Bombyx mori: one gene and its partner. The protein of the gene in region 1 interacts with the protein of each later gene in a pairwise test. Links are inferred from orthologs where the notes say so. Each region holds a gene or a part of one and is shown on either strand. Other genes may lie near its edges.

What was found.
Region 2: the proteins of zinc finger TRAF-type-containing protein 1 homolog (region 1) and Ubcd4 interact in a two-hybrid assay, tested with the Drosophila melanogaster proteins (2 studies listed by BioGRID). The link is inferred for Bombyx mori from reciprocal best matches to the Drosophila melanogaster genes CG32486 and Ubc4.

Annotation. Positions count from the first base shown.
Region 1 is NC_085125.1:14,636,736-14,645,110, reverse strand, and holds the start of zinc finger TRAF-type-containing protein 1 homolog, read left to right. Parts: upstream 1-3,766; 5' UTR 3,767-3,808; intron 3,809-6,745; exon of another isoform or gene 6,746-7,693; intron 7,694-8,179; exon of another isoform or gene 8,180-8,375. Other genes in the region: SAP30-binding protein, read left to right, coding at 1,749-2,609.
Region 2 is NC_085107.1:6,306,895-6,315,269, reverse strand, and holds Ubcd4 (ubiquitin conjugating enzyme 4), read right to left. Parts: upstream 5,526-8,375; coding exon 5,463-5,525; intron 1,756-5,462; coding exon 1,603-1,755; intron 1,235-1,602; coding exon 851-1,234; downstream 1-850. UniProt on the Drosophila melanogaster protein: Catalyzes the covalent attachment of ubiquitin to other proteins.

The DNA of each region.
Region 1 (8,375 bases):
GATAGAAATATCAGCACTGTCGATTGCACCTATAATTGAGGTGATGTCTGCCATGTACTTTTGTCAGTTTTTCAATTTTTTTTATTGATGATCACTTTGTTGGTGCAACTAAATAAATAAATAAATTAAAACTATATATAAAAATAAAAGTAGTGCCAACCCTAGCAAATTTCTCATTTCGTCCCAATTAACCGCAATTTTCGGGTAAATAGGGATTACACCTATTTTTGCATTTTTTGCTTAAACTGGAATGCTAGTTGCATAATTTTAAATTAGACAACAAAGATGCTCCCAAGACTCAATCATTTTGATCCTGATATAGCATTATATACATCAACAACTACCTTAAAATTGCTCATAAAGTTGGAATTTGTCCCTAATCGCCCCATTTTACGGTATATGGTTTGTACTCGATCTCTATTTGTAACGATCGATCACGTCGGGGTCACCAATGAGGGAGCTCATATAGAGTCCCTTCTTTATTTCGCCTGGTTGTGTTTTATGTAATTAACACCACAGTTGGAACAATATTAATTTTATTGTTGTAGCGGCATAAAGTAATTACATTAAATTAGTTATTTAACTCATTATAAATTATTTTTATGTTTTTCATATTTGGCGGTAAAAAAGGTATTGTGGCACAGACTATCTCCTTTTTCCCACATCTCGTGCGTTCCGGCTTACGCATAATAAAACGCCACATACCTATTGAAATGACTTAAGAAAGGCTCTCATTTGGCTATTATTATTTGTATGCAGTGTGAGCACAATGGACTTTTGACAAAAACTAAAGTGCGCTATCGACAGTTCGAATATAAGTTTGCATAATATATAATTGCTTTTGACATTTTTCTAAAATTAGCTTTAGCTTCCCAGAATCTTAAGTCAGACAAGATTAAAGACGTGTATACCGATTTGACAAAAAATGAATTACAATGATTCAATTAGTATTTGCTTATCTCATTTAATTTCTTTCTATCGTCAATTTTAATTGATTCCGTCTCATTTCACTTTTCATTTAAAGCCTGCTATACATGTTGGTCGAGCTTAGGCCAACGCGAGCGTAGAGACAAATTGTGCAAGGGAAGTGCTACTGCCTACACGTTCGGCAGGTTATCCAAAACCAATGCAAATGGCCAATAAAGACGAATTTTGAAGAGATGCCCACACGTTGGGCTCCGTCAGTTGTGAGTGACGTTTTGTACGCGTACACACGACCGTCGCCAACCACGTGATGGCGCGCTGACAAACATGTAGACAGTACTATTGGCCTAGTGCGTGCTAGCGCCTTTGATTTGTGCAGAAAAACCGACAGCGCCCTGAAGTGCGGCAAGTGGTCGCGAGCGACCGCAAGTTGTGACAAGCTACGCCAAATGAGTTTTAAACAAGTTAGCGCTTGACTTTACTCGGCTAACTAGGTGAACGACAGCGAGCGATGGCAAGACGTTGATATTGGCGTTCAATGGGCGACGCTCGACCAATATGTATTGCAGGCTTAACAGACAAAGCTTTTGACCTCAAGGATTCCATTGTTTGTTATGGGCTATATTCCATTTGCCTGTTGAATGTTCAAACAAGCCAAATAAACATTGATTGAATGTCATATGTCATTTTCATCTATTTTATGTCAGAGTTTGTTAGAATATTTAGACGTGTTTTTTGCTTAAATTAAATGGGTATTTGGTTTTAAAGAAAGTTGCCATATTCTATTAAAGCAACCTTTGTGTAACATAAGCTGTAACAACATAATGACTTCCCAAGCGTTAGCGTCGCTCACAGCGACTTACACCGACTCTGAAGGCGAAGAAGATATGGAAGACCAAACGCCTGAAAAAGAAGAGCCAAAAGAAGCTCATTCCGTCCCGACCAGTCCTCGGAAAGTGGAGGAAAGTAACAAGCCAGCCTCAGCTCCAGTTTCCCCTAAGAAAAGTCTAGTTAGCTACGTAGATGACACGATAGTGTCTGACGAAGAACCGACATCACCAGTTAATGAAAATGAAGATGACATGCGCCGTTTGTCCATGGAGACCGATACAGACGAAGCAGTACAGCGATCAGACCCTGATGACTCCGAAGACGGCATCACAATCCCACCTGAACCATCAGGAAAGTGTCCCAAAGAACTACAAGAATCTATAGCAAAATTTTACAACCGCATGTTAACAGAAGGACTTGACATGAATAGAATCATACAGGACAAGAAAAATTTTAGGAATCCAAGTATATATGAAAAATTGATACAATTCTGTGATATCAATGAACTTGATACAAATTATCCTCCAGAAATATATGATCCATTAAAATGGGGGAAAGAATCTTACTATGAGGAACTCTCTAAAGTTCAAAAACTGGAAATGGAGAGAAGAGAGAAAGAAAAAAAAGAAAAATTGTCAAAAATTGACTTTATCAGTGGAGTTGCCAAGAAACCTGAAAGTGACGATGAAAAGAAAAGAAAATCAAAATGGGATCAAGCTGCTCCCAATATAGGCTCTAAGCCGAATATCAAACAACCAGGCCTAGTGCAACAACCACTGACAACAAACATCACTGGCACAAAGGGAACTGTCATTGCTGCTTTTGGATCTTTACCAAAAAAACCAAAGATCTGATGTGAGAAACGTCATTCAGCTGTAAATGTTGAATGATGATCATTAGATGGACTGAGATACAATTATAATCTTAATGATAAATTTGTCTTAAAAATATATTAAATAAATGATCAATAATAAAAGTGTTGAAAAATATAATCATGGATTTCTACATAAAAGATATCAGTCAAATGTCAGGAAATAAAAATGCTTTTACTATAACATTTTTGTAAGCAGTTTAATGAATGAATCCCAGCAGCTGTAGCATTATAGAGGTATAGTACTATAGCTCTATGGATAGCCACAACCATCTACACATTTCTGCCTCAAAGTAATTAAAGTAAAATAGTATTTTGTACCATGCAATTAACACTAATCCTTACTTTAAAGATTTCCTCAGTAGTATATGAATGTTTGTGAATACTGGCATCCATATGCATGTCAAGTTGGTTAAAACACAATTACTAAAATAAATATCTCATTGCCTTATTCAGTCTTGTATACAACTTTATACTATAATTAATTAATTATATACTAAACATAATTGTTTGAGATTTGTAAATGAGAATGAGAGCCAAAAAGCATTGTAATACAAATGGTATTTAATATCTAACATACTATTTGTCTTTACTTTTTGGCAGCCAAATAATATGATGATTATTTATTTTTATTTTTTATTGCCTTTGTAGGCAGATGAGCATACGGCCCAGCTGATGGTAAGTAGTTACCGTCACTCGTGGACGTCATCAAAGCCAGGGGCAGAGCCAAGCCGCTGCCTACCATGTGTCAAGTGTCTTCGAATCTAAATCTGTGTAAAAAATTTCGTTTTATATAGTGCTTAATCTGGTTTTAGAAAACATGCTATAGTGGTGGCTTACCTAACAATTTGATACAGATAAGTGCACAAGTGTGAGTAACAGATTTGTTCTGTCGCAGATGATTTTCAAAAAGTCTAACTCTCAGTAAATTCTCATTATTTTACCGAGAAGCTATTTTAATCTTAATTTTTATCTTAATATTATTTTAATCTTAATATTATTTTAATCTTAATTTTTTTCATATTAGTTATTTTCAGTATTCATTTGATAGCTTTGATTTTTTTGCTATAAATTTATAGTCTGCATTCCTTTTGCCGAAGTCAATTGGACAAATCAAATAAAATAGTCTATGGATGGCTTAGACATAAACACAACAAACCTTCCTTTGTTTGCATCAGGGGGGTGCAACTCCCAGGGTGAATGAAGTTAGCCCCTCAAAAAATTTTTTTTTCCTGTTTTCTACTTATTTTCTATTAATTCGTTTGTTCATCATTTGTTCTTGATTGTTCACTGTTAATAATTGTTTGTTCCCCATTTATTTATTTTAAAAAAAATATTAAAAATATATCTAAAAGTTAGCCCCTCGATTGCAATTTTTAATATTTTTTCGTCCTTAATTACTCGTAAATATTCATTTTCGATTGTTCATATATAAAATACGTTTGTTCTCTTTCGAAATTACTCATTTTTTGTTTAATTAATTGTATTAGTTGAATAAATGTATACAAAATATGTGTACTGCGCATGCCATAAGTGTATAATCTATGGCGCATGCGTCAACTATAATGCTTAAACTTTCTACGCGGTTTTAATCGTGAAAAAAAAACAATTTTAAATCCTGAAGGATCATTTAATTGGATACAGTTTAATTAAAAAAATTAAAAAATAAATAAATAAAATAATGTGCATTCGCGTAAAGTTAGCCCAAATACATTTTTTCCATCCTCCTATATACCTATCGCTATGAAGGTATAAAAAAGATAGGTTAAGAGTTCACATAGGTAATATAAACAAATAAGTAAATATGTTCATTATTTATCTTTCAAGAGATAATGTAGGTACGGTATACATTATAATAACATTTTGACACAGTCGAAATTATATTCCTAACATTAGTAAAATAACATTTTAATATTTTTTTTATAGGTTATGTATTGAAATTGTTGGCAAATTATTTCATGTTTTAGCTGGAAAACTACATGGAGAATTATATGCAATACAAGATAATGAGCTCCATCAAATGAATTCGAATGAAACCAAACTGTTTACCATCCAAATTCGATTGTCGGGCAGATAGAAAACGAAAATTCACTCATAGTGAACCTCGGCCTGCATTTGTGAAACGGCAAAGACTCACTATTATCAAGGAAATTGAAGAGACGACTAAAAATGAGATGTGTCGTATTATTATACCTTTGCCATCTTGTAGTCAAGGTAGGTGTAACTGTCAATAATTAGTTACACTCACAGATCTCCTAATCAAATAACAATATCAGAAAAAATGAGAATAGTTAGTTAGTTAGTGGAAGTAGCCAAAATGGGCAAGTGGATCTCAGTTCCTATTACATAAGGTACTAGGAAGTTTGTGAAAATGAAAATTTATCACAGTGTAATATCACTTACTTACTTTAACAGTGAAGGAAAACATTGTGATGAAACCTGCACACCTAAATGTTCTTAGGATTTTCTTAGGTGTGTAATCCACCAACCAGCACTAGGACAGCGTGGTGGACTAAGGCCTAAAAACCCTCTCAATGGTAGTGAAGGCCAGTGTCCAGCAAGGGGATATATTATATGGGCTGATGATGATGACTAGGAAGTTAAATACTACTACTACTACTACGACAGTACACATATAATCCTATATATTTACAAACTATACGTTTGTTGGAAATTGCTAACATTATTTCATATTTCTAGATGTCCAGCCACTTGAAAATAGGTGTAGTAATGACAAAGCTATCCAAGTAGCTCCAGCACAGGAACACAAAGGCAAGGCAAGTGTGTATTGCAACATCACCCCTTAATATATCTGAAGCAAGTATAAGTAAACAATCAGAACCAGCAAAAAAAAAAACTGTTGTTCCTGAGGACAAATTTGACAGTGATGAGTCAAATGCACCAGCAACAGAAGGATCAACTGTTGACTATGGGTTATAGAAGAAGAAGATTAATTCATATTTATTCATTATCGTGCAAAATTCGTGGTCAAAACATATGTGTATTTTATAAATAAATATTCATTCTCAGTATTAATGTTGTTTTAATCATCGATTGAAAAATTGGTTCTTAATGAATTTAGTTGGAGCTAAATGCTGCTTGGAGCTTAATACTTTCGAATAACATAAACACGTGACTTTAAGCATAAACATATTTTTTAGGTAAATACTTTATTTAGCTTTGCTGGATTTATCCAAGATTTCGACATACCAAAATTTCATACAGGAACGACAGAGAGATATCTATCTGATTGAATACCCTTGTAGAATTGAGCTTCGAAGAAAAGTTTATTCTTATTCTTTATTAGACTTTATTCTAGTTGCAGTGTCGGTTAGAGAAGCTTGCACAGATACTGCATGGAATAAATAGTCATTATAATTATAAAATATATTTCTGTTTACATACCATACAATTTTCATAGTTCAAATATGAATTTGGATTGATATGAATTTATTTCGATTATCAAAATAATTTGTATTAAACATTTATATTTCCTCAAAATTTCTATTTTTATAATAATGACTGTGACCACCCCATAAATCACAAAATTAAAAATATTAAAGATAACTTATTTTTAAATCATATATTAAAAATTATAAACAGATCGCGAATTAAAATATTATATTATGCCTATCATTCTTAAATAATTCAGTAATGAATTTTCGCATCGCCGCGCCGTATATAATTAATATGAATAATAGGGTATTGTCCACTGTGCTAAAAAAAACATAAATTATGTTTTTTTGATAGATCTACAAACAAGCAAGTGAGTAATGCTATGTTTCCATAAATAAAAAGGCAAAAAAAAATTAAAGAAAGATATTATGCACAAGTTCAAATGCATATGTATTGTGCTAAAAGTAAAACTTGCTACTTTTGTGTAGCATCCAGCAACTTTGAAAAAACTAATCAGGTCACTATAATTAGTAGGTATTGATTTTGATTCCGAGTAAGTTGCACAGTTGTTAGATAATGTAGTTTCTTTTTGGAAGAATAACAATTTTCTAATCCTACACAAAAATGTAATGTTAAATATTTAAAAAAAACTTTATACCTATTTTCCTTTTAGGGAGTACAAAATATTGATGTGTACAAAGTGAATGTGATTTAATAAAAATATTTCAATTTAAATTATGTTTTATTAAAAATTATTCTTAACATACAGGTACAAAGGTTACATAACATTAATATTTATTCCTTTTCATATATATAAGCCCATATTTAGCACATTTGTGGAAAACAGAATCAAAATAATAATGAGTTGCTAGCCATAGAAGACCAGCATAAAAGTCTTATTAAAATCTGTTCAGTAGTTTTTGAATGAAGAGTGAAAATACTTACAAAACTTCCTCAATTATAAGTAAGGATTACTTATTTAATTAAAGAGTTTTGTAGGTGGCAAACTATCTAAAAACTTTCTATTTTCCACCAAGTTGACATCAATTATCCTTCCTGCATATATATTTATTGTATTGTTTTTTTTATAGTCTAACAAGGGGTGATATTACATTTGCAATTTCTGGGAGTTTGTTGAAAAATATATTGCTTGCTTGACTTACAGATAAATCGAAATCATCAGCCAATTGAGAGAATGTTCTATTTAATGTTATTCTCATCAGACATAATATAATATTTTGTTCAGAAACATTTGTATGTTTCTCAATCAAGCCTATTATGAAACATAATTCTTGTGGAAGACCAATATATAAACGTTGTTTATTTTTCACTTTAGATAAAGTTGTTAACACATTCATTTTTTCAACTTTTTAGTCTTCTTGAGAGCTATAGTCTGAAGTGCACAAGTCTTTGATGGAGTGGAGATATAGAGAGATAACTCATAGTCAACAGTTGATCCTTCTGTTGCTGGTGCATTTGACTCATCACTGTCAAATTTGTCCTCAGGAACAACAGTTTTTTTTTTGCTGGTTCTGATTGTTTACTTATACTTGCTTCAGATATATTAAGGGGTGATGTGGCAATACACACTTGCCTTGCCTTTGTGTTCCTGTGCTGGAGCTACTTGGATAGCTTTGTCATTACTACACCTATTTTCAAGTGGCTGGACATCTGGAAATATGAAATAATGTTAGCAATTTCCAACAAACGTATAGTTTGTAAATATATAGGATTATATGTGTACTGTCGTAGTAGTAGTAGTAGTATTTAACTTCCTAGTCATCATCATCAGCCCATATAATATATCCCCTTGCTGGACACTGGCCTTCACTACCATTGAGAGGGTTTTTAGGCCTTAGTCCACCACGCTGGCCTATTGCTGGTTGGTGGATTACACACCTAAGAAAATCCTAAGAACATTTAGGTGTGCAGGTTTCATCACAATGTTTTCCTTCACTGTTAAAGTAAGTAAGTGATATTACACTGTGATAAATTTTCATTTTCACAAACTTCCTAGTACCTTATGTAATAGGAACTGAGATCCACTTGCCCATTTTGGCTACTTCCACTAACTAACTAACTATTCTCATTTTTTCTGATATTGTTATTTGATTAGGAGATCTGTGAGTGTAACTAATTATTGACAGTTACACCTACCTTGACTACAAGATGGCAAAGGTATAATAATACGACACATCTCATTTTTAGTTGTCTCTTCAATTTCCTTGATAATAGTGAGTCTTTGCCGTTTCACAAATGCAGGCCGAGGTTCACTATGAGTGAATTTTCGTTTTCTATCTGCCCGACAATCGAATTTGGATGGTAAACAGTTTGGTTTCATTCGAATTCATTT
Region 2 (8,375 bases), on another chromosome or scaffold:
CATTAAGGAAACATCGTGGAATTCTTACCCACGCCACGCCTTCGATCATACTATACAAAACTAACTAGAAATGGAATAAGCTAAACATATCAAATGTATAGTAACTACCTACACGAATTAGGTCATCAATACCACCAAACTAATATTTAAAATAAAAATAATTACTATTCATTAATCATTCATAAAAATCATTTAGTTCGAAATCTAATTACTTTCTTTAGTAAAGTTTCGCGTCGATGGAATAAAAGTAGAAACAAATAGTCTACGTAGAGTAAGAGTCTGCATAAACAAATATTGATTTATAAATGGAATACATATAACAATCATTTATAGGTATATACAAAAAATACTGTACATTATCTAATACTTGATTTGCATATAATGTAAACTCTGTGTTTTTATTTTCTTAGCCATTGAGTAACACTCCGTGAGGAAATTTAAGGATTTATTATTGTACATAAATAAAATTTATAATCTACATTATTTAAAGATTCTGTGTACAATTTCATATCCACGTGCTATTTCAGTGTTGCTATTATCTGATTAAGTTATTTCTGCCGTTTGTGTAAATTCAATATTAAAAAGGTTATGGAGTAGTTGGTTTTATATTTTCTGTTTTATTGAGTTCAATAGTATAGTTCGCTTTCAAACGTACTTATATATAACAGTAAATTTTACTTGGACATCAAACCTATCTTAATTAGTGATATACTGTAATTATTTTTACGATGGATTGAAAGAAAAAAAATCTAAGTCCCCACAAAGGGCACACTATGAAAATAACAGGGATAATTACAACATCAAAGTAGATTGGTTGCAACACGTCTTAATTAAAATTTATTACAAATATCTAGCCAAAAAGTTGCTCAGTGGCACGCTCTAAGTCCCAATCATATGAGGAGAGAGCTACTCTGGCCTGATGTTCATCAATACCCATGTCCAGCATACGCTGCACTTTGCTATTGCATTCGTGTACTATATTTGGCCCACCAGCATAAACATTGGTCCAATGTCGTGCCGTCATAGTGAATAAACGAGGATTCTCTCTGAACTGTTTGGCGACCACAGCATCTTGTGGATCATTAGGTTCACCTGCTGACAGTAATGCTTGCAACGACAATAGAACTGTACGCAATGTTAAAGCTGCTGCCCATTGGTCTTTCAAGATGTCTAAACATATGGCACCGGTGACTGAGGACACGTTCGGATGCCAGATCTTGGTCAAAAAGCGTATCTGTCAAAAAGGAATATATTAAATAAAATGACTGTTTAGCTTTTTTATTTTGTGACTACTGTGCTAGTGTATTATATGTATAATGTAACACAGGCAAGAAGACACTTATGAACTTAATTAAAACAAAACTTATTGGACATATTATGCAGTGTTAATAATATGAATTTGCTTTGTTCTGCAATGCTGTTATTTAGTGTGCAACCTGTTTTTAAAATATTGTTTGTAGTATTATTTAAGATATATTGACGTTGTTTAATAAGTTACTAACATAATTTTTTTGTATTTAATAATTCATGGCTTGTACATAAGTGCAAAAATCTGTGCTGTTCAAAATTGAATTTTTATCTTAACTTAGTAAATAAACATACCTTAGGAGGATTGAAAGGATAAGTTTCGGGAACTTTAATTTCAAGGAGGAAGGTCCCACCTTCATAAGGAGTATCAACAGGACCAGCTATCTCGCCTTTGAGTTCAGTCCAATTCTCATTCACGAGTCCCAATTTTATGGAGCCACCAATCACCTATGAAACAAAAAGAAAACTCTTAACCTTTACTTATTCAATTAGTACTAGTATTAAAACAAGATAAAAATGATATATCGAACACGCATCGATATACAAAACAACACCAATTGGAACATTATTGATATTCATTGGAAACAAGTAGTTGTTCCACTTTAACCGATCCATCTGACCTCTGTCCAATGATAATGATATGAAATTGATGCTGAACATGTTTTGTTAGGAATAAAAATGAAAGATAATTTCTTTACTGTATTTTCAATCTGAAATAAAATGAATATTTGAATGTTTTAATAGTTAAGGCCATTTTTTCAATATAGATACATATTAAGAATATACAATAATCTCCTTCTTTGGTAAAAATTCTGGTTAATAAAATTTTCAGTATTACATACTTCCAACAGTGTTTTTTTTTTCGTTTTTTATCTATTTTTATAATATATATCCACTTGATTGGCTCCCTTAACCTTACCTATTCCCATTGTTAAACATTTATATAGACAGAAGTATACTATTGGCAGCTAAAGTCTCACTTATATTTGTATAGTAGATTTTACATTTCTCTTAGTCTTAAGCAGAGCTTATAAGTACATGTATCACAACAATGCATGCAGTTTTGTTATTGCTTTGATTGTGCACTAGTTTAAAACTCTGCTTCATGTCAATCTAATTATACTAAAGAATTTTTATTTATTATTGTTAATTATTTTCTATTCTCTTAGTTGATTTGTGCACAGAACAAGAATAATTTGTAGACACTGGTCATGATTTTCATAACATTTATGGGTTGTGCGGTGGTGTTGGATTTAGAATGAACTTTAATATTAGATTGCAAATAACTGATCGAAATTGGAATCTTTTTACACGCTTTATTCAGTTATAAAATTATTATATAGCAAAACTTGATCATAGAGATAAGTTCTAATCTAATTCTAAGAGTAATAGACTCTTAACCTATATTGAAATCATATTTCAGGACGAAAATGGGTTCCAAACAGCTTTATGAATACGATACCGAAATTAAAAAAAAGAAAACCAAATTTAAAAATTAAAATTAGATCATTTTTTGATTTTGAGATAATTTGATCAATGTAATCAATGTCAATTAAATATAGATCAATAAGGATAACTCAAAAACGACTGCTCAGACTTCGATAAAAATTGAAATTTGATAATAAAAAAAAAAAGAATCATAAAAATCAGTTGACCGAGAAAAACTTTTGAATTAACACAAAAAACAGAGCTGAATTGATAAATAGCCTCCTTTTTATGAAGGCTGTTAAAGCCCTAGAATTGATTGAGATATAAGTAATATGATGTTACATCGCAATATGTAGATCTTGAAGAAATGATAATGAATCTTGATGAAAATCACATCCGCCACCATCGCCACAGACTCATACAGGAGTCAGTCATCGTTGACGTCCTAGACACGTCCTTACAGATCTATCTGATCCAATAACTCGTGCATTAGATACCTACAACTCTAACTCTAGGAGCAAGTATATCGCCACAGACTCACACAGGAGTCAGTCATCGTTGACGTTCTAGACACGTCCTTACAGATCTATCTGATCCAATAACTCTTGCATTAGATACCTGCAACTCTAACACTAGGAGCAAGTATAGGAACCCTGCTAACCGAACTCATCAAACTCGTCAGAGTTCAAAGTAAATCTACCCTCTATAACATTTAGAGCCTGCTAAATTTCTCGCCAGATCTTCTCAGTGGGGCGCAATTCCGGTCTGGTAGAAGATGAATTCGTGAAGCAATTGCCCTTGAGATGGCAGGTTTTCTTTAGAGGTGCTAAGGCAGTTGTTAGCAAATCCCACTCCTCCTGGCAATTACAACCCTCTTTGTTTTCCCTGCTGTTTATATTTGCAGAAACATAAACATTTGTTCCATTTAGATGTGAGGTGCTAGAAGATCTCAGTGGGCAGCCGTGCAGAAGCTAAAGGTTAGAGAGAGATAAGAAATTGTGCAAGCTTACAATGCAGCAAGTATGCACTTTTAGATATACAAATATGACTAACACAATTACACAATGTGTCATTGTACAGTATATTATTTCAGTACAGAAGGTTAAGAAAAGTAAATGCAAGAGCCCTGGTAATTCAATTTAATGAATGGTATTCCTGAAAAACTCTTAATATGGATCTCAATAAGAAGATAGTTCCAATAATCTACACTATATATAAATAAACAAAAATTGGGCCTTGGTGCTAATGCAGTGCAGATATTTTAAGTAGGAGTAACCTTCTTACTACACATGCTAGCTTTCAGATACAACCTAGGCAGTAAAAGATACTTGCTAATTGGAGAGCACATACTTGCAGGAAGTGCAAAAACTTTGTCTAATGAAAAATTCAGTTTTTGCTGGGTTTGGGCTAGGACTGAGATATTTAATATTCTTAGTCTACACAAACACAGAATCTTATACCTTTAAACAAGCAATTCTTGTATATATATATAATCTGAATCTCGGAAATGGCTCCAACGATTTTTATGAAATTTAGTATACATGGGATTTCAGGGAGCGATAAATCGATCTAGCTAGAATTTATTTTAGGAAATGTTGTTTTACTTGTGTTTTCAATAATCAACTTTATCGATAATCAACTTTATGACTTCCCGACATATATTGGCGAATAATAATACTATTTTTCATAATTGTTTAAAGACACAATAACACTAAAGTTATTTCCACAGATGACGTTGTTAAGCCAACCGAAAGACAATTTATCAAAAAAAAAATTAATACCGAGCAAAGCTCGGTCATCGTCTAGTTCATGTTTATGAGGACAATTACTATTGTAATCAAAATGTGGATTATGAATGCTGTTAGCTTAGTATCGCCTGGATCATGTTCGGTACATTAATGTATTACATGCATTGCACGCAGGTGTGCTCTTACAATTGCAATAAATAAGGCAATCTGTCCATGACAATAGTGCTACAGATATTTAATTTAAAAAAATTCGGTATGTTATGTGTAAATATTGCTACTTGGTAAGCTGAACACATATACAAGGGGATGCTGGTGCCCCACACACAAGTTCTATTTCAATGGCAATCAATAATGAGGGAATAAATCCAAAATAATGTAAAAATACCTGTACTATGTCTGGCTTTTTGGAAGTAAATGGTTGCCTGAAGCCACCAGTGTCATAACTGTGATTTGATAAATAAGCCAAAAATACTTTTGCTTGGGCATAAATCGGATAAAATCTTTTATTTTATTTTAAACACAACTTCAATTACTTATAAAGATCAATGTGGGTAATATAAGTATTGTTTCTATTAAAAACATTGGTAGAAAATATAGAAAACAAAATGTTTACTTTTTCTCGTATGAATCACGAAAAACATTATAGATGTATTTTGAAAAGCTAATTTTACTATTACGAAGCAGTAAAATAATTCCTTTTCGACGAATTAAAAATAGCATTAACGTTTTGAATTTAAACAAAACATGATTTCTACAAGTTTGCTGAATCACGCACACATTGTTCTGAACTGGCTATTTGTTCTTTGTTTTATTATATCGAGACAATCCAACAATTTAGTTTCTTGGGCAATTTAACTATCTAAATAATAATAATGCATTCCAACAAAATATGACATTTTAACAAAAGTGCAAGTAACTCCAGTTCTACATTCTAAACATCAAAACAAATATAAAGTTTAGTTAAATTATTATCCATACCTCTTCACTTTTCATTATCTCTTTGAACTCTCTTTTTATACGTTTGGCTGCTATATTTGCCATTGTTAAAATTCTACTTAATTTTCACTTATTGCTTTACTGGATTCAAAAACGTTTAAAGCGCACGATCGCAGGCGATGAAATAAAGAGATTGATACCAGGATATTCTACCAAAGAGTTTTCAAAAACGTATTCCGAGCAAATGTTTACCACTATATCTGAAATTAAATTCTACCACACCCTGACGTCGAACATAGACTAAAAATATAAATTTGACATTCTCTTCTCACTTACTAACGGTATTACCATATCATTGCAATAATTTTCGGTAGTTTTCTTTCTCTATGAATTTTACTTTCTCTGTATTTCGTTCAGAAATCTCACAGATCACTCAACATTTTGCATGAGATTTTAAAGAGAAACAGACCTCGCATTCGTAAACGCATTTCAATAGGCTTCAAGTCAAGTTGTGTACTGTGGTTGGTTTGAATGTGTGGCAATAATTTTATTACCGTCTGTGATTTCCTATTCGCAATATTAAAATAAAAGTTAATTTAGTTTCGTGATGTTTGCTGTTAATAATAGTGAGTAAGTTTTAGGTCTTATTTTGAGGTATGACCAGTGTTATAAACAGTCTAAGGACGAAGTTATGTTAATTTACTCCCTATGTCACCGGGTTCCACCTATGTACCTGGCGCTTAAAGGTGCGTTGTGATAATGTTTATGTTAAAATTTTGTCTAATGCATGCTAAGTACCTCAATCCAATAGTAGTTTATGTTATGAATTTAAAAATAAATGGTGTTTGAAATAAGAACATGATGCTCTCGCATACATAAATAACTCGTGCAAGGCTATGAAGGGCGCCCGTTGTTCCCGAATACACACTTCATTGTGTACAGTCGTTACCAGTACTTAATAAAATTCTATAAATGATTTACTGAGGATGCTTAACATTATCCAAACAATAAAAATAATGCATTTGTTTACTTAATTACAAGATAAAAGGCGTGTAACTTTATAGAAAACTAATGTAATTCTAACATTTTAGTGTATAAGTAACCAAATTAGACAATCATAATAAAATTAAAAGTGTGCTGTTAAAGGTGTAAAGGTAAAATTCTAACACACAGCAATTGCTTATTACAAATTTAATAAAGTCACTTCAAAAGAATGAGCTATCTTGTTCATCAATAACGAAAATATATTTTTAAGAAGTTATCAACAGTGAGCACTTATGAAAACGGTTCACAATACACACAAAGAACGGAATTCAGAGTAATAAGTAGTCAGTTTCAAACCTAAATACTCTAGTATTAAATGCAAATATTAGACTTAATTCTACATCAATGTCTATTCAAATAGCTAATATAACATGTGAATACTGACATAAAATATATAAGTGTACTGACTACATTGGTGACTAATTATTGCAATTTGAATAAATGTAAAAACATAATAATTTTTGTGGAAAATAATATTTCTTCTGTTGAATTTTGTTCAAATGCTCACACAACAATTACTAAATAAAATACCTATAGAATTAGTAATTAATTTGATATGCATCCATGTTATTTGTTTAGATAAGTCATCTTGTGTTAAGTAGTTTCTGGAGCCCATAGACATCCATAAAATAAAGGCTGCCATCCACCTTAACACATGAACTCTAAGATCTCAGTTTTTACATTTGCCCCACCCTTTGAAACTATATAACATTACTACTTCACAGAGAATTTAGGCAGGGTGCTGGTGCCTACCTGTGCCTACTCACAAGACTTCCTACCACCAATATTAAAAACTTTTAAAAATCCTTATTAGGGAATAAAAATTGACATAGAATCTTCATCATAGATCACTCATTTTTCTTGTATAATTTTTTTATAGAATAAAAAAAGAACTCCACAGACCTGATATTATACTTCTTCTGTTCTTTTTTTGGTTTTTCAGCACAGCCTTAGAATGTTACATAATGAAAGCAACAAAATAATATTTCAAGAACTTATGTATGGAGTAGTATTATGTAAGAACTTATGTATTATTTAAAATTCATAAAAAATGTAATTGCATTGACTATGTTTTTGCTAGGAGATTAATTACCAAGGCATTAAGTGACATAAAATTTATACTGTCAGATGGTTATTGTAATGTGACTATCTATAGATATTACAACTATTTACAAGTCTATAACCTTATATATATTAGGTATATTAAGTTGTAGTGTCATGTTCCAAGTAATCAGTCAAGATGATTTCAATGAATTGCCTAAAACTTTAATACTGGATACATAATATATAATATAAAGTATCATAAATAGTATTATATAGAATAGATTAGACCACCTAATGTTGAGCAGCTTCCAAAGTAAAATGACAATGAAATGAATTTGCCACCACTGAACTTATAATCTTAATTTCACATACCAGATAATTTAAATATATCTGTTTGAACTGGATGATTATTTTGCAGCCCACATAGGTAAATGGCCAACGGTGCAGATCACAACACAATATACTACTAGTACTCATGATGTGATTTGGAAAAAGTGTTTATTAGGAATAGGATTGGGTCACTATGTGTTGAATCTGATTAAGCTCTAATAAATATACTTCAGGGCAATGAATGCGGGTCACCTAAAGATACCTAATAATCTTGGAAACTAAGAATGCTAGCTTAATAAAATAAACTGTGCTCAATAGATAGAATATAATACCTCTTAAATGAAAGTAATGACATTTATAAGTCACTGCATTTTATTTAAAAAAAATTACATAAAATAAAAACTGCTGATCCCGCTCTTAAAACAAAAATAGGAAACATAACATTTTTGTACAACAATATGATTTTCTTGAATTTTAATACTTTATATTGCCTCCTCGTTTCGGGGTTTTGTTGTTTTACGTATTTCCCTAGCTCTT